5 linked regions of the Danio rerio genome follow. The protein of the gene in region 1 purifies or fractionates together with the protein of each later gene. This does not show direct contact. Links are inferred from orthologs where the notes say so. Each region holds a gene or a part of one and is shown in the gene's direction. Other genes may lie near its edges.

Region 1 (6,083 bases):
ATATGTAACGCTAAATGTAGCTTTCTGAAGCCTCTGTGTATGTTTAACAGTAGAAAAGAGTCAACAGCAAAATTAATTACAGCGATGTGCTCACGATTGATATTGAAGAACTACAAACTCTCACTTCCCTCATCTCCCTCTGCTCATGGTTTTTTGCTTTTATTTTATTTATTTTTATTTGTGACAGAAAAGTACATATTTTATACGGAATGTTTTATTTTGTTTGTGTATATCTCAATTAAAATAAGAATTAAACTTCCTGACTGAGTTTTTCTACCTGTTCTTTTTCTCTTTCATGTGTAAGTTTAATGTTTTGATTTCGATGACTATTTGTTTTTTTTTAGTTTTAGTTCATTCGAATTTCATCCCATTTAACAATTCGAAGCCTTCTGATTGGGTATCACGTCATTCAGTGCATCTGTGCATTGTTTTCTGGAGAGCTTATGACCTACTAACTACGTTCTGCCTTATGAAAGTGGTGCAACCGAAGAAAGTACAAACTGTGCAATAAACTAGCTAAAACTTTTGTACATTTTAGATGCCATAAGGTACACATTTTAGGTACTAATTACACTTATAGGGCACTATTTTGACGGTCCATGGACAGAGCGCAAAACGCAGGGCGCAAATGCTTTCAGGGCGTGTCTGGACGCGTTTTTGCTAATTTAAGGACGGGAAATCTGCCTTGCGCCGCGGCGCATGGTCTAAAAGGGTTGAGTTTATTTTCTTAATGAGTTATAGGTGTGTTTTGAAAATAAACCAATTAGAGTCTCATCTTCCATTCCCTTTAAGAGTCAGCTGCGTCGCGCCAAGAGCGCATTCGCTATTTACAGGACGCAAAGTAAGTCTAAGTGGAAAAACTGAGCATTTCACTAGCTAACAGTTAACAGTTTTTTAACAGAAAACTGTTGAACAGAGCATCTACTGCGTGAGAATGAGAGATAATCGATCTACTTTCACTTTCGCTCTTGGATAGGGAAACCTTTACGCACAGACATCAATTAATCTATAAATAAATACTTTTGTTTGTTAAGCGCAAATATTCATTTCAAAACTATTTCTAAATTCAGTTCTAATTTCCAGCAAACGAATAAATGAATAAAAATAGCAAAATGTGCTCAAAAACCTGAGTTATATCCTAAAACACATGCTGTGCCCCATATGGTCTAAAACGTGACAGGTGGGCAAATCTAAGCTTGTTTTTAATAAAACAAATATAAATATGGATATATTAAATAATACTGCTAATAATAATAACATTATACAAAAGAAAATTGTTATGAATGAACTGAAAAAGCCTCCCGAGATGAAGACGACATAAAAGCAGTGATTTTTCATATTTTTTTAGGCTAAAAAATTATGTTTTGTAATATTTTAATCCTTTATATTTATATTCTATATCTATTCTTATTATATACTATATATATCCTTAATATTTAAATTTTTTCATATGTAAAGATATTTGCCTATTGCTCTCTTGTGTGTATTAAGCAGTGTGTAAGCGAGGCGCAACTCTGCGCCGGAGTTTAGACCGGGTTAGTTTTGGTCTAATGTAAAATCTATTATAGTTTCTCAAAATAGCAACGCGCCAGCGGTCCACCTCAGAACGCCTTCCTTTTTAGACCAGAACACCTATGGGCGCAAAAATGAGCGCTAATGCATTTGCTATTTAAACAGCATAGCGCAACGCCTCAAAACGACTCTTGCGCCAAGCTGAAACTACCAAAAGACTACTGCGCCACACTGCGCCGGGTGTATGATAGGGCCCTTAAAGAGGACCTATTGTGCCGCTTTTTACGAAATGCAAAATAAGTCTCTGATGTCCCTAGAGTGTGTACATGAAGTTTCAGCTCAATATACCTCCTAAAACAGGGGTCAATTTACCCAAGGGCAGCTGGAGGCCGAGTTTGCTTAAGGCTGGGCCGCATTAAGTTTTCCACAAGAAATTAATTATATTATTAATTATCAATTTCTAATTTGTTTATTTTTTCATCTTACTTTATTATGAAAAATAAAGAGATTTGTGAAGATTGGAATTTTTCAACACAAAACAAGATGAACACAACAAAAAAAAAATTTAAATTAATAAGAAAATAATTTAATCAGTAATAACTAGTAATAATAATAATGATAATAATATATTTACTGTTATCTGCTGTGCCGTAGTTGTCATTTGTTTTGACCAATATATATAATGTTCATTGTGTGAGGTAATGAAAATACAATGCAAGTAGAGTGATGCAAATGACCCACAAATAACAGTGCGATGCTATAACTGGTCTGGTTACCGGGGACTCTTACTGCCGATGGACAGGTGTCGATATGTGACTGCAGACGATTTTGTTAGACTGCAATTGGTTCCTTACTTCTCTTTTATTATTGTATGCATCACTTTGATTTATTTTGTCTGAAAGAGAAAGACCTCACATCAACTCTCTAAGTGCCATTTCAGTTCACTTCCAAGTGAAAACTCTGTCTAATCTTCAAGAAGTTAGCTCCTACGTCATGTTCTGTGACTGACTTAACTCGTGTTGCTTCTGTATCATGCAATCCAGATCCAGGGACGCTGTTCCAGGTTCTCCAGATCTCTTATGATCAGCTTCATTATCAGATATACTCGTGGTTAACTCTTTGACTGACCGTGTTAGCTTTGATTCAAATAGTTACGTTTTGGTGACTGTCACTTTAAATTGAAATGAATTGAGATTCCCAGCCAGGGCCTTGCACAGGGGTGTGGCTCGGTGGCTAGAGCCTCTGCCACTCTGCCCTCATTGGCTGAGGTGCCCCTCTCAGGTGACCAACACAAGCAAGTGAATGTATCTTTCAAACGTGCAATAACTGCAATGAAAAGTAATGAAACACTGTTTACTCATTTATATGAATGTGTTAATAAAAAATCAAAAACATTATATCGTTTAACTGCATTTTGCAAATCAAAGAGGCCATTTTTAACTGCAGGGAACACAATAAATCAAGGTAGATCCCGAATTCTGCCAGAAAAGACAAACATGTTTAGTCATTTTCCTTTAAATCATTGTGCTATTTTTTTTTACAGGAAAAAATGTATTTATGTTTTACAGTTATTGGTTTCATTTTATTTTACTTTTAAAAATGTAATAATAAATTAAGTGTTGTTAATTCTGTTCAATTAGTTTTTTTGTGTTTTTTTTTTTTACTGCAAAAAGTACCGATTAGAGAACTGTTAAAGTACCAAACCGATAAGTGCTATCAAAAAAAGTAGTAATACGTATAAAACCTTAACGATACCCATCCCTACTTCAATGATTCGATGGATCATGTTCACATCTGAAGTAAACCATAATGCACTTTTCAAACAGACGCGGGTATAGTTTGTGGTAGGGATGTAACGGTATCAGAATTTCACGGTACGGTAATACCTCGGTATGAATGTCACGGTATGGTATTTATTGAATCATTTACAGGAAAAAACAAAACTTATGAAAATACTCCAAAAAAGTGCCAAAAGTGTCAATGACATACAAATTAGTCATCTATCTGTAAGCTTTGAAACAGGAACTTCAATTTTAATAACAAAAAAATATTAAACCATGTAAAAAAATTAAGTTTCAATTTAGTAGTGTTGAAAACTCATCACATTCAACATTTAATCACTCACTCACTTAGATAGAGATGGGTTTAAAGGAAAATTATCATATAAATATAATCTGGTAAAAGCTGGTATCTCTGGGTATTTACAATGTCCCCTGCAACAGAAAAAACCCTCTCATTTGGGACTGAGGTTTCTGGGACAGAAACATGACTTGGCCCAGGTTGACAGCAGTGGGTAACGTTGTGCATTGTCTTTCCCCCACTTGAGAGGACAAACCATGAGTGAGATAGAGGTCTCATGTCTGCATCAATCTGAACAGTGTGCTGTGTTTCTGCAGTCCCCATGATATTAGTCGTATTCCCCAACTTACAGGCACGTGCACACACATTGCTTAACCTGTGCAGTGCACATGCCCTTTTTAGTCTTGGATAGAAAGTTCCCTTCCAAAATGATCAAAAGTGCCCCCGCGACGCGACATACCCTCCGTCCCCGCTTTACAGTACGCGCGCGACAACACAGCTGATAAGAACTCGCGCGACAACACGGCTATTCAGTACGCGCACGACAACACAGCTGATAAGAACTCGCGCGACAACACCACTATTCAGTACGCGCGCGGCGACAACACCCGCTTTAGAGTTTTTCAGCTCTTTTTGATCCCCGCTTCTAGCAGCACACTCCATTTCCGCATTACTGGATCTGTAGCGACAACAGACCGCAAGGGATGATGGGAATTGTAGGTTCCGGTACCTCCCATTCGCTTCATTCGCCTGAGCAAATTTTTTCAGAAGACCTAAAGTTTTACCGAGTCATGCGACTACGGTAATATCGAAAAAAATTAATATTGCGGTATGACGGTATTTACAATACCGTTACATCCCTAGTTTGTGGGTGTGCTCCTGAGTTCAGAAGACAGCGTTCACATTAACCAAACAAACTGAACTCTGATGTCAAACAATCCTGGGTGCTCATCAAATATTGCAGCGTGAAAGCATTCTAAATGTATGAAGATATCATAAATGTCTGTATTTCTCCTTTGACAGGATGTTCAGCCCTCATCAGAATCCTCGACGCGGGATCCATCTGAGCTTGTCCCGAGGCTCTGTTTCCTGGTTCGCTCTGACACGGGTTACGGCTTCAATCTGCACAGCGAGAAGTCTAAACCGGGTCAGTACATTCGGGCGCTGGACCCTGGATCGCCCGCTGATCGCGCCGGACTCAAACCACAGGACAGACTCATAGAGGTCAGACCACAACAACACACATATTCTCATACAACCATATCTGAAAATCTATCTTTAAACTAGAGAAAAAAAGTTTCCTTTTCTTCTCCATATGCACCAGACACTTTCTTATAAACACTCCAGGCCCTATCATACACCAGGCGCAATGCGGCGCAAGGCGCGATGCAAATGTTATTTGCTAGTTTCAGCTTGACGCAAGTGTCATTTTGACGTTTTGCGCCACACTGTTTAAATAGCAAATGCATTTGCGCTCATATATGCGCCCATAGACGATAACAATTGCCCATGACAATTTGCTTTTGTATAATGTTAATATTATTATCAGTATTATTTATTAATGCATATTTATATTTGTTTTATTAAAAACAAGCTTAGATTTGCCCACATGTCAGGTTTTAGACTATTTGGGGGACAGCATGTGTTTTGGAAATAAATCAGTTGTTTGAACACACTTCATTATTATTGTTTATTTATTCGTTTGCTGGAAATTAGAACTGAATTTAGAAATAGTTTGACAAATCTTTGCTCTTAACAAACAAATTAACTATGTAGGCTAATGGATGTCTGTGCGTACACCATATTTCCTTATCCACGAGGAAAGAGAAAGTGCAAGTTTAGGCCTATAGGAGGAAGCTCATTCCTTATCAAATGTGATATGGTGTGACACAACTGACTCCTAAAGGGAATAAGAGATGAGACTCTGATTGGTTTATTGTCAAAACACACCTATAACTCATTAAGAGAATAAGCCCAACTCCGTTAGACCATGCGCCACAGTGTGTATTTTTCCATCCTTAAAATAGCAAAAGCAGATTCGTACACGGCCTTAATGCTTTTGGCCCTGCGCTTCAGACTTTGCACCTAGATCGTTAAAATAGAGCCCTCCATGTTTCTGGAAGACAAAGTTCTGCACTGAAGCTGAAGCTCTGCACAAGACTTTTGGCCAGCGGAGAAATTAAAATGGTCGTGCCCAACTGAGTCTGGTTCTCTCAAGGTTTTTTTTCTTCACTCCCATCAGGTGAAGGTTTTTTCCCCTCTCCGCTGTCGCCACTGGCTCGCATGGTTCAGGATTGGTAGAGCTACGCATCGATGAATTTGCTCTACAGTGTTTGAACTCTCAGTAATGATTAAATCACACTGAACTGAGCTAAACTGAACTGAACTTAAACACTAAAACACTGAACTACACTGTTCCAGTTACTATGACCATTTATGTGAAGCTGCTTCGACACAATCTACATTGTAAAAGTTCTATACAAATAAAGCTG
Region 2 (6,602 bases), on another chromosome or scaffold:
ATGAGACTACAAGTTTGCAGATGAGAACACACAACGTGGCGTCTATGTTGTCTAAACACTGTGACAGTAATGAATATTAATGAAGTTGCACAATAGGGCACGCTGATTGGTTTTAACCAAGCTTTACTCATGCATTAATGCATCACACTGTAAGACGTAATAAGACACACTCTGGCACAGACGTCAAGTCTGCACGCTGGAATACAATGCTATTATGTCATGACCGTGACGCTGCTTCAAAAATTTGTTTCAAACAGGAAGTACGAATTTGCTTGAAATAACGCAAAAACAACCAATTTACACTTTTTAGTGAAATATAGGTGTCCTAATAGTGTTTTTAGCAGTGTGGGACACATATACGACTGTCAACAGCTCAAAAAATGTGTTTTGGTGTTTCGTGACCCTTTAAGCTACTAATTTGCAATTTACTAAATTTGCAATTTACTAAGCTACTAATTTACAAATTGCAATGAGGTTTTTTAAAATAAAGTGTTAAGAAAATAAAAGATTTAATAAACAAAGGATCACAGAAAAGAGTTTACTTCCATGGCAGAATAAGGTGAACACAATCTATTCAAGATTTTATAGAATGGACATTTTAACAAAGTGTAATATTGCATTTTCACAGTTACCAACACCATAACTAGTAATCATCATAATCTGTTGTTTAAAATGTAATCTACATTCAAAACATTGCACTTTGCATTTTATTACCTGGCATTAATATACAGTTTTTTTTATTATTATTACAGATGTTGACTGCTGCATGAATGTTTTACTGGATAAAGAGCAAATTTGATGAATCATTGTTTTTTTCTTTCTATTGGGGTAAATAAAAAAATCCAAAGCTATATTTATTCAGTTTTTTAGTTGTTCCGTTTCGTTTATAATTTTATAGAAATATTTAACCCATGCAGTGCAACTCAACTATTCTAACTTTGGTTTCAGAAAAGCCTGGAGATGATTTCATGATTAATTTGTGGTTGCTATAGTGTTGTTAAGGCATTCTGAGAAGTTTAGCCTGTTGCTTTGTGGATTACAGAGAATTATGGACATAGATAGCCCATGTATACTCAGATGCCACATGATGACACCATCTATGATCCATGCGATGCCACTAACAGTACATTTAAGAAGCTTAACACTTTCCAGGATGCAAAACATTATGCAACCTCTGACTGCTAAACTGACTGCATTCTAGCATCCCTATAAAAAGTGATTATGTTTTAACTCAACATTACGTGTATTTAAATATAAATGTTGCGGCACAGGGGCTCAATGGTTAGCACTGTCACCTCACAGCAAGAAGGTCGCTGGTTCAACTCCTGGCTGGCCAGTTGGCAATTTTGTGTGGAGTTTGCATGTTCTGCCTGTGTTTGCGTGTTTTAGTTTCCCCGTGTTTGGGTTTCCTCTTGGTGCTCTCGTTTCCCCCACAGTCCAAAGACATGCGGTACAGGTGAATTGAGTAAACTAAAGCCATAGTGTATGAGGATGTGTGTGTGTGTGAGAGAATGAGTGTGTAAGGGGGTTTCCCAGTACTGGGTTGCAGCTGGAAAGGCATCCGCTGCATAAAACATATGCTGGAATAGTTGACGGTTCATTCTTCTGTGTTGGCCACTGATGAAGAATGGATTAAGCCAAAGGAAAATTAATGAATATAAATTTTTGTCATCGTTAGCTTGTCTTGTGTTACGACTCAAGCTTTTTGCGAATGTAGATATTTATGAATGGTTTAAACTACAGTTGCAGATGCACAGTCAACTTGCCATCAAATGTTTACATACTGGATTACATATAAAGACCAATTTAGTGGCCCATAGAAACGGCTAACAGCATACATATATTTCTGCATAATAAAAAGAGCCCATCCTCACAAGTTGATATGATGAATGATTGTACATATGTGAATGGGGGTTACTTTTATATCAAGCAACAGAACTGCCATTTTTTATAGAAATTATCGCTGGAAACTAACCTAGCTATATATATATGTATACCGTTTTTGTTTTATGTAACAAAAATAATAATAATAATAATAAAAAATATATATATTTATATATATATATATATATATATATATATATATATATATATATATATATATATATATATATATTTTATTATTATTATTTTTTCTTTTTTGTGTATGTATGTATGTGTATGTATATGTACACATATAAATACATACATTTTTTAATGTGTGTGTGTAGATAGATAGATAGATAGATAGATAGATAGATAGATAGATAGATAGATAGATAGATAGATAGATAGATAGATAGATAGATAGATAGATAGATAGATAGATAGATTCAGGTTTAAATCACAACTCGTAACATGACATTAGCCACACCTGTTACATAAAACAAAAACGATTATTCTAAAATCTTACATTGCTGTGTGAAGAATGATGCCCCATATGGTTTTGCGGAAGTATTTTGGCGGAAGCTACGGTTACCATGGCAATTATTGTCAGGCTACCGATTCCACTTCATAAGTCCGGTAAACGGGAAAAACACCAATTTTATCTATATTTCAAAGAGGGAAGAATGAATCCACAGCACATAAACTTTCAAATTCACATCCCCGATCGCCATTGCAGCATCATCTGAGCTGTGATGATGAAGGAGCCAGGAGGCGGTGTCTGATCAGAGCCCAACATTAAACATATCTGACGTCTATATCTCCATCATCATCATCATCCTCGCCTCTCAATGTCCAAATAACTCTTTGCATTTCCGTGCTATCGCTTTTTCCTCAAATTCACGTTTTTCGCTCGTTTACCCTCTGAACGTCTTTAGGGATCTGAAGTTTGCCTCAGTTTTGCGCAACCGGTGTGTGAACTCGTGTGTGAAACAGCCCGATCCGATCGCTGTCCACCAGGCGTAATTGTGTTGACAACAGGGGATTCATATGAGCGTACCTCCGGTAATCCGACCGCCGAGCCCCCTCCCGGGGTCGCAAGGCATTTCTTTCCAAATCCAGATCGGGTTGAGCCGGGAACCCGTCCTGCTGGACTCCGGCGAGTTCAGCCTGGCGCAAGTCCGAGAGATGGCATGCTCCATCGTGGACCAGAAGGTAACACTTTCCATAATCCTCATGTTTCATTCATTGTCGTTCACGTAAAAATGCCACAGATTTCATCACCCTGAACAAGAAGTGGCGGTCCGGAGTTTGGAAATAGCCCAACTTTTAGCCCACTTGTTACTTAAGCATTTATGGGAATTTGGAATTTCGTTCCAACCTCACATGATGTTAAGTTACGACGAACTTGAATGCTTTATTAAAATATTGCTTTTCATAGGCTATATCATCCGTTTATGTCTATAAATTTATGAGCCTATTATATTTAGTAATGTATAATTTAGGATTCTGCTACAGGTTCACAACTGAGCTGTAAACTTTCAAAAGGCAGAAAATTGCATTGAAATTGTTTTTAATTACTGATAGAACATTATTTACTTCATAACCTGAATCAGCTGAAACACACTGAATGTGTAGCGTCATTAAGTGTTCTGCATTGTATTTTCCATTGACAGTGATGACGTTTTGTAGCCTACTTATTGAGCCAGTGAGGGGCTTGTAGCCTACTGGAACACAGCATCACTGCACTGCAGGCCTGTCTCTTGTGCTGAAACCTTTCAAAATATTTAGTGGATTTTGTCCTCAAGTTGTTGCTTCCATGATATTTGGAAAATCTCATTATAGTAGATGTGTATGTTACAGTGTATATCAGGGCAAGTAAGGACTTTTTTTTGCCTCACCAGTATAATGTGGCATTGAACCAAAATTTTGGTTATTAATTAAACAGAATAATGTGAGAACTGTTTAATCAAACAGATTAAATTGATTGAATATACCAAGCTAAAGCATAATAACTGCTGCTAAGTGCTTTTCTGCTTTTCTAATAAAGCAATGTCAAATTTACACTAGAAGTTCATAAATATCAGTTATGAAATTGGCATTGAAAAGATCACCCAAAAATAATGTCAAAGGTGACATTCACCCTCAATATAACATTATTGATGATTTTTAGCTGGAATAGTCTTCTTTGATTCATAACATGCAAGTCATACTGACTGACTGTTTACACAGTTCACGCTCAGGACCATTTACAATGGCTGTGGATTGAAAGTAATTATGCTCAGTTTTTTAAACAGAAGCTATGGAGTTGTGTAGATTTGCTGTATATCTTTTCACTCTTGAAGTGCTGATTGGCTTGAAATTTATCAATAACCAAATTCACATCTTGGATAGTCTAAGGATGAGAATTAATAACAGATTTTCAATTCTGCTGGAACTATCCACCAAAAAGCAATTGATTTCTGCTGAGTGGTATAATAGGTGATCTAACAGAATGTTAACTTGAAATGGAGCTTGTAGAATAAATGCTGTGAAAATATGGTTTCTATATTACTACTAGAAATATAATGTATATAAGTTTCTACTTGAAATAAAGCGTTTCCCAAATCCATCATTCCGACGAACAATCGCAAACTGCATCGCAGACTTGTATGCTTGTAATTACACCTCTAGAGCTGATGTTATAAGCATAGTTCCTGGATGTGTTCTATTCCAAGTTATCCCCCCCATGCCCTATTCCTTTCGAACGTTCCATCATTCAAAGTTGGAATCATTAAAAAAAAAGCATTAATGTCATCTCTCTTAGGTGCAGTTTAGTTTCAAATATTTTTGCAGTTTAGTTTTAGCAATCTTTACATTGACAATTGCGTTCCCTTTTTAATGCACTTTGAAAACATTGATGCCACTTTGAACGCAGCCGAGGCTCATGATGAAAGCTATAGGTGACCTATTATTTAAAAACAGAACTTAGGTTTGGTCTCTGAAGCTTGTGGAAACAAAAATATATAGCAAACGTTAATGCTTTTAATTTATAATAGGTTATTTACTAAGAAATGTATCTGTACTGTATATGACATGGGTCTGTTGGTTAGAACATTTCTGCAGTGGTTTGAATGTGTCGTTGTAAAAGCAGACTTTACTATGCATCTTACTATAATAGTTCAGCCGCAAGTTATGTTGTGGTTTGGGAAACAAACCCCTGTTCATTAAAAAGTGGCTTATATTTGTTTTTCCTCACAAAAGTAACTATAGAAGACTTGAAATATAAGAGAAGGGAGCATAGGTAAATATAGTTTTACCTATCTTCAAAATTGGTCCTCTGACAGGACTGGGTGATTAATCGAAAAGCAATCAAATCCACATTCAGAACCTATAATCGTTCTAATTTTTCCAGGTCAATTGTTTACATTACTTTTCCTAGCTCTTTTTTTTGACTGTTCTTTTTAGGCAATGTGTGTTTAGATTTCAGTTGTTCAATGTTGATGTTCAATAAACAATCAGAGATAGTAGATAGTGTGCGTTTCTTTCAACTATTTTAAAATCAAGTATGCACCCTTCATTTTAATATAATATGTGAGCATATTTACAGTACATAACTTGTCAGTGAACTATAAGGGCAAAAAATAAAAAAACAAAATAATCATTCATTATTGTAATTGAGTTAAATTTGAGATTTAGATTTTAGGCCAAATCGCCTAGCTAGGCATGGGCAGGTATAAGATTCTAATGGTATGATAACCTTGGATATAATATCACGGTTTTACAGTATCTCAATATTGTAATTACTGCTCTAAAACTATTTATATTTTAAATGTCTGGGTAAAAAAAACAACTTTTTCCCCTTTGTACACAATATATTTTAATTTGGGAAACATTTAAAATATTTTGGAACAGTAAACATATCAGGCTAAATGAATTATTGACTTCTGCTGTCTTCATCTTTTGGGATCTTTTCTGCTGAGATACTGCTGTCCTAAAAAACTAAAAAAAAATTTAAAATCTTATTAATACCTTAGGAATGGTATAGCAGAAAATTTTGACGGTTTTAAAACCTTTACTTTTCGAAAACCGCGGTATACCTTGAACATTAACGATATCCCCTGCCTTTAACCTATTTAAGTATGAACATTGAAAGCGTTGGGTGTAGTTGTGTTAAATAAGCATTCTGATAAAAAATGAATATGGCGTATAGTTGTTGTTTTTTCCTTTAAAGCATTTGGAATACCATGAAGGTGAAAGTCAAAGCTGAAAACATGTGAACTCACAAGCACTTAAGAGTAATGATAAAGTTCAAGCCTTCTCTGTAGATTCGCGTTCTCAGAAATGGCATAACAGTGACAACACAGAAGTCAAATTGTCACCACCCCTTTTAAATGCACAGAAGATGGCATCTGTAAAGTTATTAATATCTTTTTTTTGCAAAATGTGTTTTCTGTTTCGTAAGCACCTGTTTCTGACACATCTTCAGAATGTTACTAGCTCCAAAAATATTACTTATTGTGCGCATCTTGCAAAGTTTGTGACAAGACGCGAGGTGTTGACAACAACATAATTTCCCACCATTATCAAACGTTGTTTTCTTCCCAAATTTCCTTCCCTCCCTTGTGGCTCCCTAGTTTATTCGGTGACACAAGTGCAGAGGTTGCAGTCTGTTGTGTTTTAAGACATGCAGGTGTTAAAACACAGAGCCGTATTTTGATAAACATAACAACAACAAGCATCATGTGACGCTTAACAAG
Region 3 (5,877 bases), on another chromosome or scaffold:
GTAAATGAAGTTTTGCTAAAACTATGACTAAACTGATTTGTTGTCAGTGACGGTAAATGATCATCAAGAAAATCAAATGTCACTAAGGTGGTTAACTCAAAATGCATTAAAGCTGACTTCAGCCATAGCAGATGTAAAATGTTAAACCCTAAATTAATCTGTAAAACAGTATAGTGCAGTTGGTTAAAATAACTTGATCTAATGAAGTTTTCAATCCGGAAGATTCCACATTAGGTGGTGTTAGCACTGAAAGAAAAACGTGGGTGTAACAAAGTCAACAAATGACTCAGTCTGTAATAATTAATTCCCAAACAGACAAGGGTCTCTTTGCTGCAAATTGTTTTCATTCATGAGACCCTGATAATTTGCTGCTAAATTATCCTAAATGGTGTCATAACTTATGTAAGCCAGCATTTATTGCTCTTCATTTCTTAGCATCCTCGCTCGGGATTTGAGCGTGAATGAAAGTCTGCTCGCTGCAGTGTTGTGGTTTTTTTTATTCAATGCTTAGCAGACGCCGTTACTTCATTAACACCACACTGTTTCCTCAGGACTCTAGTAAAAGCCCCAGACCCATTAAGAAGTTCCTCCCCAAGAGAAAAACCGAGAGAAAGCCATCAGACGACGAGTTCCTGCTTAGAAAAAGTAGGTTCAGTCAATAAAAAAGACAAATCTGCTTCATTTGAATTAATTTTTGATTTTTTTCCTAATCAAAACAACAAGCGGCATTGCCAACTTGTCTTTTAGCATCTGCAAACAAATAGCAATGATGTATTGTTTGTTTGTCTCGCAGGTACGGCAGCTCTAGAAGAGGACGCCCAGATACTCAAAGTGATTGAGGCCTACTGCACAGGAGCCAGTCTCCACCAGTCCACCACAGGTTTTATGTTCTGTACTGTAATTGTCATATGCGTTGTATAAGTAACTGAATATTCAATAGCATTAATTTGCTAAAAAAAAAACTGATTTGCTCACGCAGCTGTTCGTAAAGAGTGCGTCCCGCAGGTCCTGCTTCCAGAAGAAGAGAAGATTATTGTGGAGGATATCAAGAGCAATGGCCAGACCACCATTGAGGAGAAGTATGTCCAACTATTTCCATATATACTTACATAAGATGTTGCTTACCCTGCTGTTGTCTATTGGAAGGAGTGCATCAATAGAGCCGCCGTTTTAGTACAGTGTAGCGCTCCTTTGAAATTAATGTGGGACCAAGGTGTAACGAAGGACTGGCCATCTGGAGGCATAGATATGTAAACATTTATACTTATATCTATGATCAGGAGTTTTTTCCAGTGGTCAGTATGCAAATGTTTTTTTAAATTATGAAATTTATAATTTGACATCACTTTTCTACATCGAAGAATAAGTGATCGCACAGGCATTGCCAACAAAGAGTGTATGTTTGTGTGCATGAAAATGTATTATCCTCCCTCCCTGTTAAATTTGATCCAATTTATTTCCTGAAACACACCCACTCTCCCGCTTTCACTTCTAATTCTAACAGAGGGAGCGATTCATTTGTGAATGATTCCAAATTATGAACGTTATATCCATGAGTTCCAATGTGCATATCCAGACCAAATTTCTTTCTGATAAAGACATTATTAGACTTTCTGATCTAAATGGTATATAACATTTGTAATATTCAATCATTTACAGTGGACAGTTTGCACATTGAGGCGCAGGCACTGTTATGTTATGAGGCACCCATATAAGTTTCTTCAAAACTAGCTGTTACTTCACTTAGCCGACAATAATAAAAGTTTAATTAAAAGTTTCTGGCATCAGCATCTTGTTATCATATTTCATTTGCATTGTTTGCTGATTTTATTAAACAAAACTATCATAAGCCTAGCCTTTAGTGCGAGTTGGTGCTACTTTGCCTTATGATCAGTGTAGTAAGTGACTGTATTATCATCAATAACGTTACTTGTTGAGCACAAAAGTTCATAAACAAAAACTTAAAAAACAAAATCTTACCTATGAAATGTAGTGTCTTCATGTTTTGTTTTCTTTGTTTGTTCTGTACTACACCCACAAAAGTTACACAGTGCAAAAGACCAGCATCTTCAGATTAATTTTAGTCTTGACTATGTGTTGTTGATTGACTTTAATCCTGGGAGCACTGTACAATGTAATGGCGGTATTGATGCATGCTCAGGGTCCGTATTCGATATCTAGTTTATACAGTATATCTATGGATTATATCTAATCAGAATTCACATGTGCAGGAATGAGCATTGATTTTTGTAGTATTTTTACTACATTATCAATTTTCAGTGCCAGATTTATGAAACATTTTATTATTGTTTTGTAAACTATTAAAGGTATCAGATAATTGACATCATATTTACACTGTAAGTGACATGATTTGTTACTTGTTAATACAATTTTTAATGAAAATTATAACAAAATTGTTGATATTTTCCTAGAAATAGTGCAGGATCAAGGAAAATTTCTATTCATAACAGACTTTTATGTTTGCTTTCACTGAGGATGCCCTGATAGGATGATTTGACAAAAAAATATAAATATTTTAATTAGCAACAACTGGCTCATTTTTATACCATTTTGTCACTTGATCAATTATTTAAACTTTTGTCTTTAAAAAAGATCCCTGTGTTTATTACATCTTCAATTAGCCAAAAGCTAAACCAGAAACAATATATGCATATGTTTTTGCTAGTTTATTGCTACATTATTAAATCATTTTTGTTTAACTATGCTTAAATAAAATCTATTTAGTGTTCATTTTTTTGTTATAATTAGTATTTTAATTATATATTCATTATTGTATTAAATTATCCTATTTACCCACAATTTAATCAGTCTAAGAAAAAACATTTGTCTCTTTGAAGTTTTCTGACACCACTAAGCAAAGACTGAGTTCTGTATTAAAAATAACATATGGAAAACTGCTAATGATGTCACAATGACTACATTTACATGGACATCAGTAATATAAATATTTGCCTTAATCTGAATAAGACAACTTTTTTAAAAAAAAAACAACTTTTTAATAATACAGTTGCTTTTTAAATGTTTCTTTCATGATCCTGTTTTACGTGTCATAACACATAATTCGATTAACATCATTGCATCACCACACTATCCACATTTCTTCCAGAGTTTCATTTTTAGTTTGTTAACTTAAACTGCTGTTTAGTACTTGTTCATTCAAGAGCATTTTACGCATGCCCCTGTAACAAACAAGATATTGGGTGCAACTATGAAATGGAGGAAGAGTGTTGTTTTAATGAAAGAATAGTGTCAAACAGCCATATGTATATAATATATCCTGTCGCAAAATGCGGCGTAAATCCTGCATGACAGTTATAGTTTGATTAAGATGTTTACATTTCTGTATTGCACTTCAATAATGCCTCTAAAATCGGCATACTCAAATGTTTTAGTTTGATTTGTGATTATTTTGATTATGACCTTAATCAGATAAAATTAATAAAAAATGGCTGTTTACATGGTTGACTCTTAATCAGAGTATTGTCTTAATCGTATTAATACTGTATTATTGGTGTCCATGTAAACATACTTATTGACAGTTAAAGGGTTATATTAAATACTATTTCATTATCATTGTTGTGCAAATAGATTTTGTACATATTTCATTTGGTTTTGATGTGTATTTAATAATATTAACGAAAGAAAAACAGGATAAATTATATACTATCCTTTGGTTTAATTTGCTTGGTTGTTCATACCTAAAAAATGCATTGTACTGTTTTGCAGAAGTCTAGTTGATGCCGTTTATGCCTTGAAAGATGAAGTCCATGAATTAAAAAAGGTAAAATTTTGAATTATTATTTTTGTCAGCCAAAACTATAACCAGGATAGTAGGATAGTAGCATGATCATCTGGTGCTGTACATTTTGTAGGAGAATAAATGGATGAAGCAGTGTCTGGAGGAGGAACAGAAGTCTCGTAAGGAGCTGGAGCGTGTTGTCAGAAAGTTGGCCAAGCAAAAGAACGACTGTTCCTGGGATGAAGGAGGTCACTAAAGAACACTCGCCTTTTTCCCCTCGCCATTTGCATGTACGTTTTTTGTGTCACTGTGTGTCCTTGCAACAATCACATTACACTGAACGTTGCTTTTGAAAAGTCTCCATGTTGGGGGTTTTCAGCCATTTCTCATCAAAGGTTTTTTTTAAGGACAAGATGCGATGAGAATATCAAATCTGTGACTTTTTATTCTGGCTATATGGAAGAATATCACTGTGCGGTTTGTTTTCACGCTCCTGTGAAGTGGCGTTTTCAGAACAAAACAGCAGCTGTTCTCGAAGACCAAGTGAACTGCTTATTTAGGAAGTATTAGGTGATTTTTCTTCTTGTGGAGTCCTGTCCTCAACCCTTCAACTTTCTTTCTTGTTCACTCAAGCACTCCAACAAGAAACATCACATAAAAAAAGATGATGGGATTTCTTGTTTTTGAACTGAACAAATATCTGCCTCACTTTATGACTGTTACTGGTCATGGACAAGAGGAATCTGAAGACATGAACAGCATTCCAACTCAAGCCGCTATTGCACAAGTAAATAGATGACCGTAGACTTCACCGTATCCATAAGTATTGTCCTGTTTCTGCTTTTATAATGTGAAAACGGTAGCGTGAGAGCTTTTAGGTCACAAGTGAACAAGATTTAGGTGTGCGATTTGGTCCTGATATAGATATGAGATGCCCTACTTGCCATCTTGAACTGCGATTGCTTTATCCTGTCACGGTGTGTTTTCATGAAACCGCTTTTGACTAAACATTTAGTTTTAGTTAAAAAAAAGTTTAGCCCAATTCTTTCTTTTTTTTTTTGTTTTGCAATTCAATGTGCAAGTTTAACGTTGTTATCAACCGTAAACTATTTAAAAACAATGACTCCACTCACATCCATATTACGTGTTTAGTCTGTATGGATGAACCAAACATGCACTGACAGACTACAGCACTGTTTTTACATTTGTAAAATGTTGCTTTACAAAGTGACATGTTGATCTAATAGCCTGGCATGCAGAATCTATTTTTATTTTTAATCTATTTTTAATCTAAATTTTATTTTATTATTTTGGATTTCAAATTTTAGATTTGCAAAAACTTTTAATATAAATTTATGATAAAGAAAGGTGAATTACCAACCAACTCAAAAGTGATGGATTGCCTAAACCAAATAATTGTATCATTGCGTCTGAAAATGTCAACTACTCAGTAGGTGCCGCATTTGAATTTAAACGTACAACTCAGCTGTTAGAAAAGTACGTCCTATACAGTATGAATGTCATTAGTATGAATTGAACTCGGACATACTACTGCACATCCACCATTTTGTCATCATCACGTGTCCTACCAGTGCCAGTTGCATCGCTTCACTCCCATTCATGAAATCTGTCGCGGTACATCATGGGATAGCGTAGCATCTATCTGATGCGCGCTTTGGCGGTTGATTCTGCTGTGGCGACCCCAGATTATTAAAGGTACTAAGCTGAAAAGAAAATGAATGAACGGACGGACGGACATTACTGGCGCAGCAGAGCTGTCAAGTTTCTGTTTGTTTCCAGGCATAGGCAGCAAACATTTTTCGCCCTTATATTTTCTTTGCAAAATTAACACTGTAGGTTTGGAAATAAAACCCCATAACAGTACTTCAGCTTTAGATTCAACATATTCACAACTTGTTTCCCAGACAGTCACTTCATTCTAAAACATTACAGCAGCGAGGGGGCGAGGCTGAGAGCTATGGGAATGGAATGAGGCCGGCACTTGAGTGAGAAAGAGAAGCACCTGTGGCACACACTGGCCTTGAGTCCCGCAGAGGAGCTCTGCATTACAAGAGGAAGAGTGACGACAGAGGAGGATGAGAGAGGACCAGGCCTGG
Region 4 (6,083 bases), about 33 Mb from region 1:
TTTAATCTTTGCCATGATGACAGTAAATAATTATTGACTAGATATTTTTCAAGACACTTCTATACAGCTTAAAGTGACATTTAAAGGCTGAACTGGGTTAATTAGGTTAACTAGGCAGGTTAGGGTAATTAGGCAAGTTATTGTATAACAATGGTTTGGTCTGTAGACTATTGAAAAAAAAAATGCTTAAAGGGGGTAATAATTTTGTCCCTAAAATGGATTTAAAAAAAATTCAAAACTGCTTTTATTCTAGCCGAAATAAAACAAATAAGACTTTCTCCAGAAAAAAAAAAAATTATCAGACGTACTGTGAAAATTCCCTTGCTCTGTTAAACATCTGTTAGGAAATATTTAAAAAAGAAAAAAAAATTCAAAAGGGGGCTAATAATTCTGACTTCAACTATGTATAATTTTTTTAAATATATTTAATTTGTACTTTGTACAGCATGTGTGTATTTATACATACACAAATATACACACTACACATGCATATATTATGTAAATACGAACTGTTATCTTGTATGCGATTAATAATTTGACAGCACTGAATATTTTACATTCATCTCATAACATTTATTTTTCATTCTTTGTGATGTAAATGTCATTCTTATGAATGCTTTTTTTATTTTTTCCAATTGCAATAATTGGCTTAATCTTTTTAAAAAATAATAATTGATCTGCAAAACAATTAGCACACAAATAAACTGGTTATATATATATATATATATATATATATATATATATATATATATATATATATATATATATATATATATATATATATATATATATATATAAATATATATTTATATTTATATTTATATATATTTTCTTCTTCTTCTTCTTCTTCTTCTTCTTCTTATTATTATTATTATTATTATTATTATTATTATTATTATTATTATTTATTATCCTCCAGCATCAGTGTTTTTAATAAATCCTTCAGTTTCTTCCATGTGTCACAAGAAGAAATGGGGTTGCCTGCATGCCTTTAAACTTTTAAAGGTCACTATGCATCATTTATTAGGGCAACGACATTTGAAAGCCGCTAAATAGACAAAGAATTTCTTCTGTCCAAAAATATTTCTTCCAAATTAATTTCCCTATCACAAGGTTGAATTTGCGTGACTTAACTGTAAAGGTCGCTCTCCTGAACGCTTTAATGCGAGCGTGAACGCTGTGGAATAAAGCTGACTTTTCTGACCTCGGTATCGATCTGTGGTAATGATGTTGTGCTGGAGATGGATCAGCGTCCCTATGGGCTCTGCTGCATGTATGTTAAATGTCAGCCACACCTTTTCTTAACAGACACGCTTCTGTATCCATCAACCACTGTTTGCCATTACTTGAAAATTCCTTCGAACAAAGATCCAGAGGCATTGAAGCCAGATTTGGAGCTGCAGAAGGTTTGCATTCATCCTATAGGTTAAAAATAACAAAATATATATTTAATTTTCTAAAAATTGTCACTGCATAATAAATGTTTACTCGCATTGTTTTCTATTCAATCTCAGACTACGGCAGTGATAATGTAGCAGAATGCAAATAGAAAATAGTTTGTGATTTGTAAACATTTTGTAAAACAGAAGTAGTTTAGAGGATGTCATTTCACATGATTAATTTTGTCAGATTACAGAACAAACAGTATGGGTCAATCTGGAATCTGCTGACTGTAAAAAGTCATGTGGTTGTGATTTGCCAGCACATTTATATGACTGGATTGGACAATAATCAGATTCATGGATTGATTTACTCACCTTTGACTTGTTTCAGAATAATAAAGATATTTTAAAGAATGTTGGAAACCTGTAATTATTCACTTTCATAGTATTTGTTAAGGATGGGAATGGTTACAGATTTTCAGCTTTCTTTAACTTATTTTGCGTGCAACAGAAGACTCGCAAACTGGTTTAGAACAAATCAAAGGTGATTCTTAGTTTTTGGGTGAAATATGCCAAACAAGGTCAAATATTTTAAAACATTAGTTAAGACTGTAGGGCTGCTCGATTATGGGAAAATCATAATAACGATTATTTTGGTCATGATTGTAATCACAATTATTCTAAACAAATGTACAGTTGAAGTAAAAATTATTTGCCCTCCTGTTATTTTTTCTTTTTAATAATCATTTTCCCAAATGATGTTTAACAGATTCAGGATTTTCTTTTGCCGCATTTTCTATAATATTTGTTTCTTCTGGAGAAAGTATAATTTGTTTTGTCTTGGGTAGAATAAAAAAAGGTTTACATTTATTTTTTGACCATTTTAAGATCACTATTAATCCGCTTAAGCAATATAAAAAAAACTACAGTTCTACAATGACTTTCCTTATTAACCTAGTTAAGCCTTAAAATGTAATTTTAAGCGGAATATCTTAATAATATGTAGTAAAATACTATTTACTTTCATCATAGCAAAGATAAAATAAATCATTTATTAGAAATGAGTTATTAAATGTGTTATGTTTAAAAATGAGTTGAACAAATCTTACTTCCATTAAACAGAAATTGGGGAGAGAAGGGTCACTTATAATTCAGGAGGGCTAATAATTCTGACTTCAGCTGTATATATATATATATATATATATATATATATATATATATATATATATATATATATATATATATATATATATATATATATATATATATATATATATATATACATATACATACAGATACTATGGATGTCAGTGATTGCAGGTTTTCAACATTCTTCAAGATATCTTCTTTTTTGTTTAACAGAAGACAAACTCAAACTATAAATATATTTTTTTGTGATCTGTCCCTTTAATTGATCATGAAATTTATTTAGTTTAACTTAAGGAACCCTTTGAAATGTTTTACTTTATCAAATTTAGTTTTATTCAATGTTAACAGTGAAACATTTAAGATGATTTGTGGCATAATTATTTAAAATAAAGTTTATATTATTAGTAGTTAGGAATGGGTACCAAAACTCTGTACTTTATAGGTATCAGTGCTACATTATAAAAGACAGAAGTATCGATAAGCTTTGATGTTAACGGTTCTGCTATCGATACTGGAGAATTATTGCTGAATAAACATTACTTACAGTAGCATCCCGAGTGGACAGCGACAATGCTCATTGCAACAAAGTATCTTTCAAAAAGGCATTAACTGCAGAACGGCTAATGAAAAGTTTTTGACTGCCTAGCTAATAACGCTAACGTGTTACATCATCCACATTATTATGCCAGCAGTCGATCACCTAAATTAGTATGATATTAATAGTTAAATAAACACACACATTTGTTTACAATGACAACAGTATTTTGTATATACATTAAAAATGTTTTTACATCAGCTGTATTTACAAATATAGCCTATTATTCATAAATATAGCCTAATAATAAACTATGCTTATAGCAAATATAGCCTAATAATGAACTATGCTTATTAAGAAAAAATTTTTTACATTGCAAGATGCTTCAAAACTTCATTAAAACACGGGTAACTCTCAAAACACTGTTAACTCATTTTTGTGAATGCGTTAATGAAAAATCATAAACATTCTCATTTAACTGCATTTTACAACTCAAAGAGGGCATTTTCAACTGCAGGGATTGGAAACACAATAAACCAAGAAAGATCCGACTTCTGTCAGAAAAGGCAAACATGTTGATTTTTCTCCAGAAAGTTTTTTTTTCTCTTCATTTTTTTACAGAAAAAAAAAATATATATTTGTTTTACAATTATTGGTTTTGTTTTATTTTACAATAAAAACGTGATTGTGTAAAGTGTTGTTAATTCTGTTCAAATAGTTTTTTGTATTTTCGGTAAAAGAACACTACAAAAAGTACCAATAAGAGAACTGTTAAAGTACCGAACCGATAAATGGTATCGATAAAATTGATAATACTGTTAATAGCTCAACGATACCCACTGTAATAATAGTAGTGGTATTTTATTTACAGCTGTATTATATAGATGTACATTATTGTGGAGAAACTGATATGAAACAGTATTTTGTATTGTAATAGCGTGTATATTACAATGTAATAACGTGGTTAAAATAATTGAATGTGCTTTATTGCGTATAGTATTTGTTATATTTATAAAATACAAACCTACTGCAAGCTCCACTTTCATAGTCCTCAGTTGTATAAATGATGTTTGTCATGCTAAAATTCTTCAGAGGTCAATACTGTGTTTCTAAAAATGCTGTTTTCTCTTCTAGGATGAAACGGGTGCTTATTTGATAGACCGAGATCCCACTTATTTTGGTCCAGTGCTCAACTATTTGAGACATGGGAAGCTGGTGCTGAACAGAGGCCTGGCAGAGGAAGGTATGACAGGAACTTTAGGATACGTTCAGACATGCTTTAAGATTTTTTCTGTTGTTTAACTGACGGCTAAATTCAGTTTTAACTTGTTTGTTAGCTGTTTTTGTAGTCTGATATGCGGTTTATGGTTTATTATTTAATCAGTGAAATGTTCCCCAGGTGTGCTGGAAGAGGCTGAATTCTACAATATCACTTCACTGATTAAACTGGTCAAAGACAAAATCAGGGAGAGGGATTGTAAGACCGCTCAGGTAAGATGATTTTATTTTATTTATTTAAATGTACTCTTTTTCAACCATATTTTCTAACTTATTTTATCCTTTTGAGGTGATCTTTAACACTGTTAATCCAAAAACAGTTTTAGGGTCTTTAGCCCAAAAATAAATTGTACAAGTTTAATATCATTTATAACAGTATTATGATTTTTCTCCCAAAAAATTAAAAATAAATAAATAACTATAGAAGCTGACATAATGTTAAACAAACAAATGAGAAATAATATGATGCTCTGCTCTTCTTTTAAGTGAAAATCTCCTGTTACTTCCTCTTTTCACGCTGTTGAGGTCACACGTCTATATATAAACAGTAAAAAGATGCTAAGTAGTAGGGCTTGGCAATTCAGCAAATTTACAATTCACTAATTTACATGTTACTATTTGGGTTTGCCTTTTTATCTTGGACTTTGTTTTGAATGAAGCACATTTGCAAGAGACGACGTTTTGGTTTGGAGTTTGCACCTAGGTAGATGTTCAAGTAATGCCTTTGTAATTTGTGTTTAGTAATTGTATGTTCTGCTGGGCGATGTGAAAAATCTTATATCACAATAAAAGTCATCTCATATACTGATAACAATATATCATAATATATTCAATCATGTAATATTGACCACATATAAAATACTTTTTAAAGTATATACTCACGTTTGTACTCCTTCATATGTGATTATTTTTTTTAACTTTGGGCAAATGTTTGATGTAGGAATGTAGAAATCTAAAATCAGTTGTAATAAAAAATATAATAATAATAATGCATAATAAATATTTGCATTTCTAACATAAAATATTGATTATATAAAATGCCAAAAATTTTACTTTTAAGCTTGACAGGGTTTCTGTGGTTTCATAAAATCCAAATTTTAAAATCCTTAATTTACTGAAATATTGTGTTGTAGGTCTTAACTTTCCTTTGTTCCTGAATTGCTATCCAATCTGGCCAACACCCATACAATCTATCCATCTCTGGACAAACTGTTGTGCATAGATTTAGTTTATTAGAGTTTTTAAACTTTTAAAACATTTGTTCATTTTGATTTTTAACTTTAAAAAAAGTTTATTGGAAAAACAGTGTAAAGATAAAAAGTATAGCTTGCTTGTTTTTACAGTCTTTCAGATGTTTTGCTTAAAAATATGTAAAATATTTGATTTTATATTATTAATTTTAGTATTGTATTAAATTATTATATTTTTTGATGGGTCTAATTTGAAATTCCTTTTGAGTCTAGCCCTTTATGAGTCTAAAACTTGATTCTGAATGGTCTCAAATGTCTTAACTTTTTGCTTGAGACTTCTTCATCATGCTGTTGATGCATAATTCCTGCCTGCATTTAGAATTTGCTCATCCAAATAATGAAACATTATTACCAGGGATCGATGCTAAGGATTTCTTCTAGTGGCCTGGTTGGGCCAGTGGTAAAGATTTTTACCTGCCTTGCCAAAGGTTGAAGGTCCCAGATCACCAGTTGAAGCAACAGAAATCTTCTTAAAGTGAAATTAAACCA
Region 5 (6,083 bases), on another chromosome or scaffold:
CTGGAAGTCAGTAGTGTGTCCGGCTAGTGTGTTTGCTGTTTTCCACATAGAGCTGCACAGACAGAGGTGAGCGTCACAGTCAGAGCTGCTTGACACTGCAGGAAACACACGGCTCTAATACAGCTCACAGGCACTCAGTAGTGTTTACTTCAGCCTTCAGCAGCTCTTGTGGACAATATCCTGCACAATACTCTTCTGTCTTGTGTACATGAGTAGTCTGTGTCAGGGTAAGTGTGGAGTTCAGTATGTGCAGTAGATGTACAGCTCGCTCATGTGTAGGTGTACTGCAGCTCTTGTGTCCGGTGCTGTGTTCATATTCATCATCCTTGTGTTCATTAATGGTCCTGCGAGACTCCACTGCTTACTGTAGTGTAGGATAATCTGCAGCAGCAGTGAGCTGGTGATCCTGTCTGATGATGATGATGTGTGTGTGTTTGTGTGTGTGTGTGTGTGTGCAGGTGGAGGAGGTGAAGAAACACAGCCACTGTCTGGCCTTCAGCTCGGCGGGTCCTCAGAGTCAGACCTACTATATCAGCTTCGACAGCTTCACTGAACACCTGCGCTGGCACCGGCAGGCTGCGAAGGTCAGTGTGTGTGTGTGTGTGTGTGTGTGTGTGTCTGTGTGTGTCTGTGTGTGTGTGTGTGTGTCTGTGTGTGTGTGTGTGTGCGCACATGTTTACAAACTTGTATAATGTCATGCTGTATGACACTGGTATTACAGAACATGAGGTGAATCATGAGGACAGTGCTGATGTCACTATTGCACTGCTTTGTTTTCATTGGTCAGATTGCATTACTCTGCTCTGATTGGTCAGATTTCATTACTCTGCTCTGATTGGTCAGATAGCATTACTCTGCTCTGATTGGTCAGATTGCATTACTCTGCTCTGATTGGTCAGATTGCATTACTCTGCTCTGATTGGTCAAATACCATTCCTCTGCTCTGATTGGTCAGATAGCATTACTCTGCTCTGATTGGTCAGATTGCATTACTCTGCTCTGATTGGTCAAATACCATTCCTCTGCTCTGATTGGTCAGATAGCATTACTCTGCTCTGATTGGTCAGATTGCATTACTCTGCTCTGATTGGTCAAATACCATTCCTCTGCTCTGATTGGTCAGATAGCATTACTCTGCTCTGATTGGTCAGATTGCATTACTCTGCTCTGATTGGTCAAATACCATTCCTCTGCTCTGATTGGTCAAATAGCATTACTCTGCTCTGATTGGTCAGATTGCATTACTCTGCTCTGATTGGTCAGATTGCATTACTCTGCTCTGATTGGTCAGATAGCTTTACTCTGCTCTGATTGGTCAGATTGCACTACTCTGATTGGTCAGATTGCATTACTCTGCTCTGATTGGTCAGATAGCATTACTCTGCTCTGATTGGTCAGATTGCATTACTCTGCTCTGATTGGTCAAATACCATTCCTCTGCTCTGATTGGTCAAATAGTATTACTCTGCTCTGATTGGTCAGATTGCATTACTCTGCTCTGATTGGTCAGATTGCATTACTCTGCTCTGATTGGTCAAATAGCATTACTCTGCTCTGATTGGTCAGATTGCATTACTCTGCTCTGATTGGTCAAATAGCATTACTCTGCTCTGATTGGTCAGATTGCATGCTGTGTGCGACTTGCTATGTGTACCAAACATATAGATGTAATTGGATTTGCATTTTACAATTTAAATTTAATGTAAAACATCAGTAATAAATTATTATGTGATTATTTTTAAGTTTTCTGTCCTCCTGAAATCATTCTGCATAAGTTAGCAGATTTAATTATATTCTGTGCAGTAATAGCTAACACTCTCAGCATTGTGTGTGTGCGCCTGCTCATTAGCATGTGGCTCCTGATTGGTCGGCTGTGAAAAGGTCTGTCATTGGTCGCGGTTTGTCCTGACAAGGACACCCATCGCTCCATCAGGGAGATGTGTGTGTGTGTGTGCGCGTGCGTGTGTATGTGTGCGTGCGTGTGTGTGTGTGTGGAAGCCCTAGTTGTGAGTCCTACTTTAGCACGCTTCACTATGAAGGCAGCATCCTGAAGCAACACAAGTAGGGCAGGGCAGTGCGCGCCGGGAGCCTCAGATTAGCAGCAGAGACTGCGGGAGGGATTACTGCATACACACCTGCTGATTGGCTGACTGCAGATCACCTGATCATACACCTGTGACTCAAGAGATACTGCCAGAGGTGTCATCCAGCGCACAACTACTAAAAACAACACTGCATTTCAATAGTGTTATTATTATTGTTTTACTGTGTGTGTGTGTGCGTCCGTGTATGTGTAGTGATGTTCATATATGTGTAGTAATGTGTGTGTGTGTGTGTGTGTGTGTGTGTGTGTGTGTGTGTGTGTGTGTGTGTCCATCAGATGGTGTCTCAGAGGATCAGCTCAGTGGATCTGTCCTGCTGTAGTCTGGAGAAGCTTCCTCCAAACCTGCTGTTCAGTCAGGATCTGACGCACCTCAACCTCAAACACAACTTCCTTCCTGCCGACCAGACGCTGCTGCAGCTCCAGAGGTCAGTCAGGGGTCACGAGGACACCAACACTCCCACTGTAGCATGACAACACTCTGATTAAGGGTCCACTGTGTAGATTTCTGATGACAATGATCTGACTAGGCGACTCAGCACTGTCACCTCACAGCAATCAGGTTGCTGGTTTGAGTCCCGGCTTGGTCATTGTGTGTTTCTGTGTGGAGTTTGCATGTTCTCCCTGTGTTGGTGTGGGTTTCCTCCGGGTGCTCCGGTTTCAGTCCACACACATGCGCTATAGGGGAACTGATCAACTACACTGGCCGTAGTGTATGAGTGTGTGTGTGAATGAGTGTGTATGGGTGTTTCCCAGTACTGGGTTGCAGCTGAAAGGGCATCCGCTGTGTAAAATATATGCTGCAGTAGTTGGCGGTTCATTCTGCTGTGGCGACCCCTGATGAGTAAAGGGACTAAGCCAAAGGAAAATGATGTCATAATGCAACTAACACAGCCACGCCCCTCCAGCTGTCAGTTTGGACATCGCTATGACAACAAGCAGAAATGGTGTGACAATGCTGGAATAACTCTCCCCAAACCCTTCTCCACATCCTTCTGAATGAAACGCCCACTTTACCACAGCCAATCAGCTCACAGTAGAAAAAACAAGCCACGCCCACTGTTTTCTCATTTAATATTCATATAATAAGCGGAGTGTGTTGTATTAATAGTGGAGTGTGTTGTGTTAATAGTGGAGTGTGTTGTGTTGTTATTGAAGTGTGTCTCTGCTGTGTGTTTCCGCAGGTTCAGTCGTCTGCGCAGTCTGAATCTCTCCAATAATCAGCTGTGCAGTTTCCCGCAGGCGCTCTGCTCCATCAGCAGCCTGAGCGAAGTCAACCTGAGCTGCAACCGCCTGCGCTCCATCAGCCCCGATATCGCCCGCATCAGCAGGTCTCACACACACGTTCACTAACACAACCATACACTCTTAATCATGACTTCTGCGTGGTGTCGTGCGCACATGTACACCCGTGTCGTGAGCGTACAGCACTCACGCAGAACCATTAAACACAGCAGCAGGCTGAAGCACACAGGACAGGGTTTCTCTCAAATGAGCTGATGATGTGTCAGTGTGTGAAGCGGAACAGTCTACTCAGACACTCCATTATTCTGCTGACACTATCTGCTGAATATTTCCCTCCATTAAACACAAATTGGGGAAAATATAAGAATTTAAAAGTAGCAGGAGAGCCAATAATGCTGACGAGACTGTGCTGTGCTGCCCTCTGCTGGACACTGCGTAACCTGCATCTCCCTCTGCTGTGCTGTAACTGATGCTGTGTGTGTGTGTGTGTGATGATGATGCGGATGTGTGTGTGAGTGTGTGTGTGTGTGTGTGTGTGTGTGTGTGTGTGTGTGTGTGTGTGTGTGTGTGTGATGATGATGATGATGATGATGCTGATGCAGATGTATGTGTGTGTGTAGCCTGCAGACGCTGGTGCTGGACGGTAATCTGCTGTGTTCGCTGCCGCTGGAGCTGGGCTCTCTGCACCGGCTGGTGTTTCTGGGTCTGTCCTTTAATGAGTTCCAGCAGGTTCCGCCGGTGCTGGAGCGGCTGCCCGCGGTCGAGAGGCTCTGCATGGCGGGAAACAAACTGACAGAGCTCAACCTGCAGAGCTTCAGACTGCTCACCGTCAGACACGTGGACCTACGGTGAGCACACACACACACACACACACACACCATCATCATCATCATCACATGATGTGTACATGTTCAATGAAGTGTGTTTGTGGAAGGCTATTCCACAGTTTAGGAGCCATATATGAGAAGGCTCGAGCTCCTTTAGTGGACATGGCTATTCTGACAACTACAAGAAGCCCTGGATTAGAGATCTTGTCATCGTTCTCACACACACACACACACACACACACACACACACACACACACACACACACACACACACACACACAGCATCATAATGTGATCGAGGCTCTAGCAGTGATTATGCATGCTTGTGCTTGTGTGTGTGTGTGTGTCTGTGTGTGTGTGTGTGTGTGTTCAGTCTGAATCAGATCTCCAGTGTGCTGCGGGACGAGCCGGAGTTCTTGCGCGGGGTCACTCAGCTGGACCTGCGGGATAACTGTCTGCAGGAGCTGGACGCCTCCGTGTTCCCCCGGCTGGAGGTGCTGCACTGCCAGAGGAACCGCATCTCTCAGCTGCGCGTGTGCGGCGCTGCGCTCAAAGCTCTGCACGCATCCAACAACGGTACACACACACACACACACACACACACACATATATGCTCAAAGCTCTGCACGCATCAAACAACAGTACACATACACTCACACACACTCATGCATATGCACACTTTCACTCAGATGCATATACACACACACACACGTCTGATCCTCATGCTGTGTGTTGCCCTCCTTAGAGTTGCAGGAGATTCTGGTCAGTCCTGCTGCCTCAAACCTGACGTACATCGACATCTCCAGGTGTGTTTCCTCACACACATCACAGCAAACACACACCTGAGCGCATTACTGGCTGCTGGTGAAATAAAAAAACAATAATACACTCATCCAATAACCCCCCCCCCCCTCTCTCTCTCTCTCTCTCTCTCTCCTCCAGGAACTGTATGAAGGCTCTTCCAGACTGGTTGAGTGACAGCAGGAAGCTGGAGGTTCTGGACATCAGTCACAATCAGATGACGGAACTTCCTCCATGGTGAGTGTGTGAAGTGCCTGAGTGTGTGTGTGTGAAGTGTTGACCTGTGTGTGTGACATTTTGACCCGTGTGTGTGTGTGTGTATCCGCAGGTTATTGTGCAGCTCGAGTTTGAGGAAGATTCTGGCGGGTCACAATCAGCTGAAGCGTCTGTCGGAGCGGGTGGAGCGCCCCCTGGTGGAGGTGCTGGATCTACAACACAACCAGCTGGAGGAGCTGCCCTGCAACCTGTTCCTCAAGACTGATAGGTCAGGCAGACACACACACACTGGCACATATATAAACACACACATATAAACACACACACACACATATATATAAATAAACACACACACACGTATATAAACACACACACGTATATAAACACGCACATATATAAACACACACACACACACACACATATATAAACACACGCATATATATATATAAACACACACACACGTATATAAACACGCACAAATATATAAACACACACGCACAAATATATACATAAACACACACACACGTATATAAACACACGCACATATATAAACATACACACACATATATAAACATACACACACATACATACACACACACATATATAAACACACACACATATATATAAACACACGTATATGAACATACACACACACACACACGTATATAAACACACACACATATATATAAACACACGTATATGAACATACACACACACACACACGTATATAAACACACACACACATATATAAACACACGTTTATAAAGACGCACATATATAAACACACACGTATATAAACACACACACATATAAACACACACACATACATATATAAACACACATGCATATATATAAGCACACATACACGTATATAAACACACACACATATATAA

What was found.
Region 2: the proteins of Na(+)/H(+) exchange regulatory cofactor NHE-RF2 (region 1) and prkd1 purify together in Homo sapiens (affinity purification with mass spectrometry; 3 studies listed by BioGRID and IntAct, with this or other methods). This does not show direct contact. The link is inferred for Danio rerio from reciprocal best matches to the Homo sapiens genes NHERF2 and PRKD1.
Region 3: the proteins of Na(+)/H(+) exchange regulatory cofactor NHE-RF2 (region 1) and arhgef6 purify together in Homo sapiens (affinity purification with mass spectrometry; 3 studies listed by BioGRID and IntAct, with this or other methods). This does not show direct contact. The link is inferred for Danio rerio from reciprocal best matches to the Homo sapiens genes NHERF2 and ARHGEF6.
Region 4: the proteins of Na(+)/H(+) exchange regulatory cofactor NHE-RF2 (region 1) and kctd5a purify together in Homo sapiens (affinity purification with mass spectrometry; 3 studies listed by BioGRID and IntAct, with this or other methods). This does not show direct contact. The link is inferred for Danio rerio from reciprocal best matches to the Homo sapiens genes NHERF2 and KCTD5.
Region 5: the proteins of Na(+)/H(+) exchange regulatory cofactor NHE-RF2 (region 1) and phlpp1 purify together in Homo sapiens (affinity purification with mass spectrometry; 3 studies listed by BioGRID and IntAct, with this or other methods). This does not show direct contact. The link is inferred for Danio rerio from reciprocal best matches to the Homo sapiens genes NHERF2 and PHLPP1.

The regions. Positions count from the first base shown.
Region 1 is NC_133178.1:11,851,166-11,857,248, forward strand, and holds part of Na(+)/H(+) exchange regulatory cofactor NHE-RF2, read left to right. Parts: intron 1-4,614; coding exon 4,615-4,815; intron 4,816-6,083.
Region 2 is NC_133192.1:30,381,636-30,388,237, forward strand, and holds the start of prkd1 (serine/threonine-protein kinase D1), read left to right. Parts: upstream 1-2,732; 5' UTR 2,733-2,913; coding exon 2,914-3,078; exon of another isoform or gene 3,079-3,156; intron 3,157-6,602.
Region 3 is NC_133189.1:36,326,937-36,332,813, reverse strand, and holds part of arhgef6 (rho guanine nucleotide exchange factor 6), read left to right. Parts: intron 1-551; coding exon 552-645; intron 646-793; coding exon 794-892; intron 893-979; coding exon 980-1,079; intron 1,080-3,747; coding exon 3,748-3,802; intron 3,803-3,893; coding exon 3,894-4,016; 3' UTR 4,017-5,877. UniProt on the Homo sapiens protein: Acts as a RAC1 guanine nucleotide exchange factor (GEF).
Region 4 is NC_133178.1:44,423,745-44,429,827, reverse strand, and holds part of kctd5a (BTB/POZ domain-containing protein KCTD5a), read left to right. Parts: intron 1-4,200; coding exon 4,201-4,309; intron 4,310-4,465; coding exon 4,466-4,557; intron 4,558-6,083. UniProt on the Homo sapiens protein: Its interaction with CUL3 suggests that it may act as a substrate adapter in some E3 ligase complex. Does not affect the function of Kv channel Kv2.1/KCNB1, Kv1.2/KCNA2, Kv4.2/KCND2 and Kv3.4/KCNC4.
Region 5 is NC_133177.1:279,828-285,910, forward strand, and holds part of phlpp1 (PH domain leucine-rich repeat-containing protein phosphatase 1), read left to right. Parts: intron 1-458; coding exon 459-584; intron 585-2,380; coding exon 2,381-2,529; intron 2,530-3,285; coding exon 3,286-3,432; intron 3,433-3,966; coding exon 3,967-4,194; intron 4,195-4,546; coding exon 4,547-4,749; intron 4,750-4,918; coding exon 4,919-4,979; intron 4,980-5,115; coding exon 5,116-5,211; intron 5,212-5,302; coding exon 5,303-5,458; intron 5,459-6,083. UniProt on the Homo sapiens protein: Protein phosphatase involved in regulation of Akt and PKC signaling.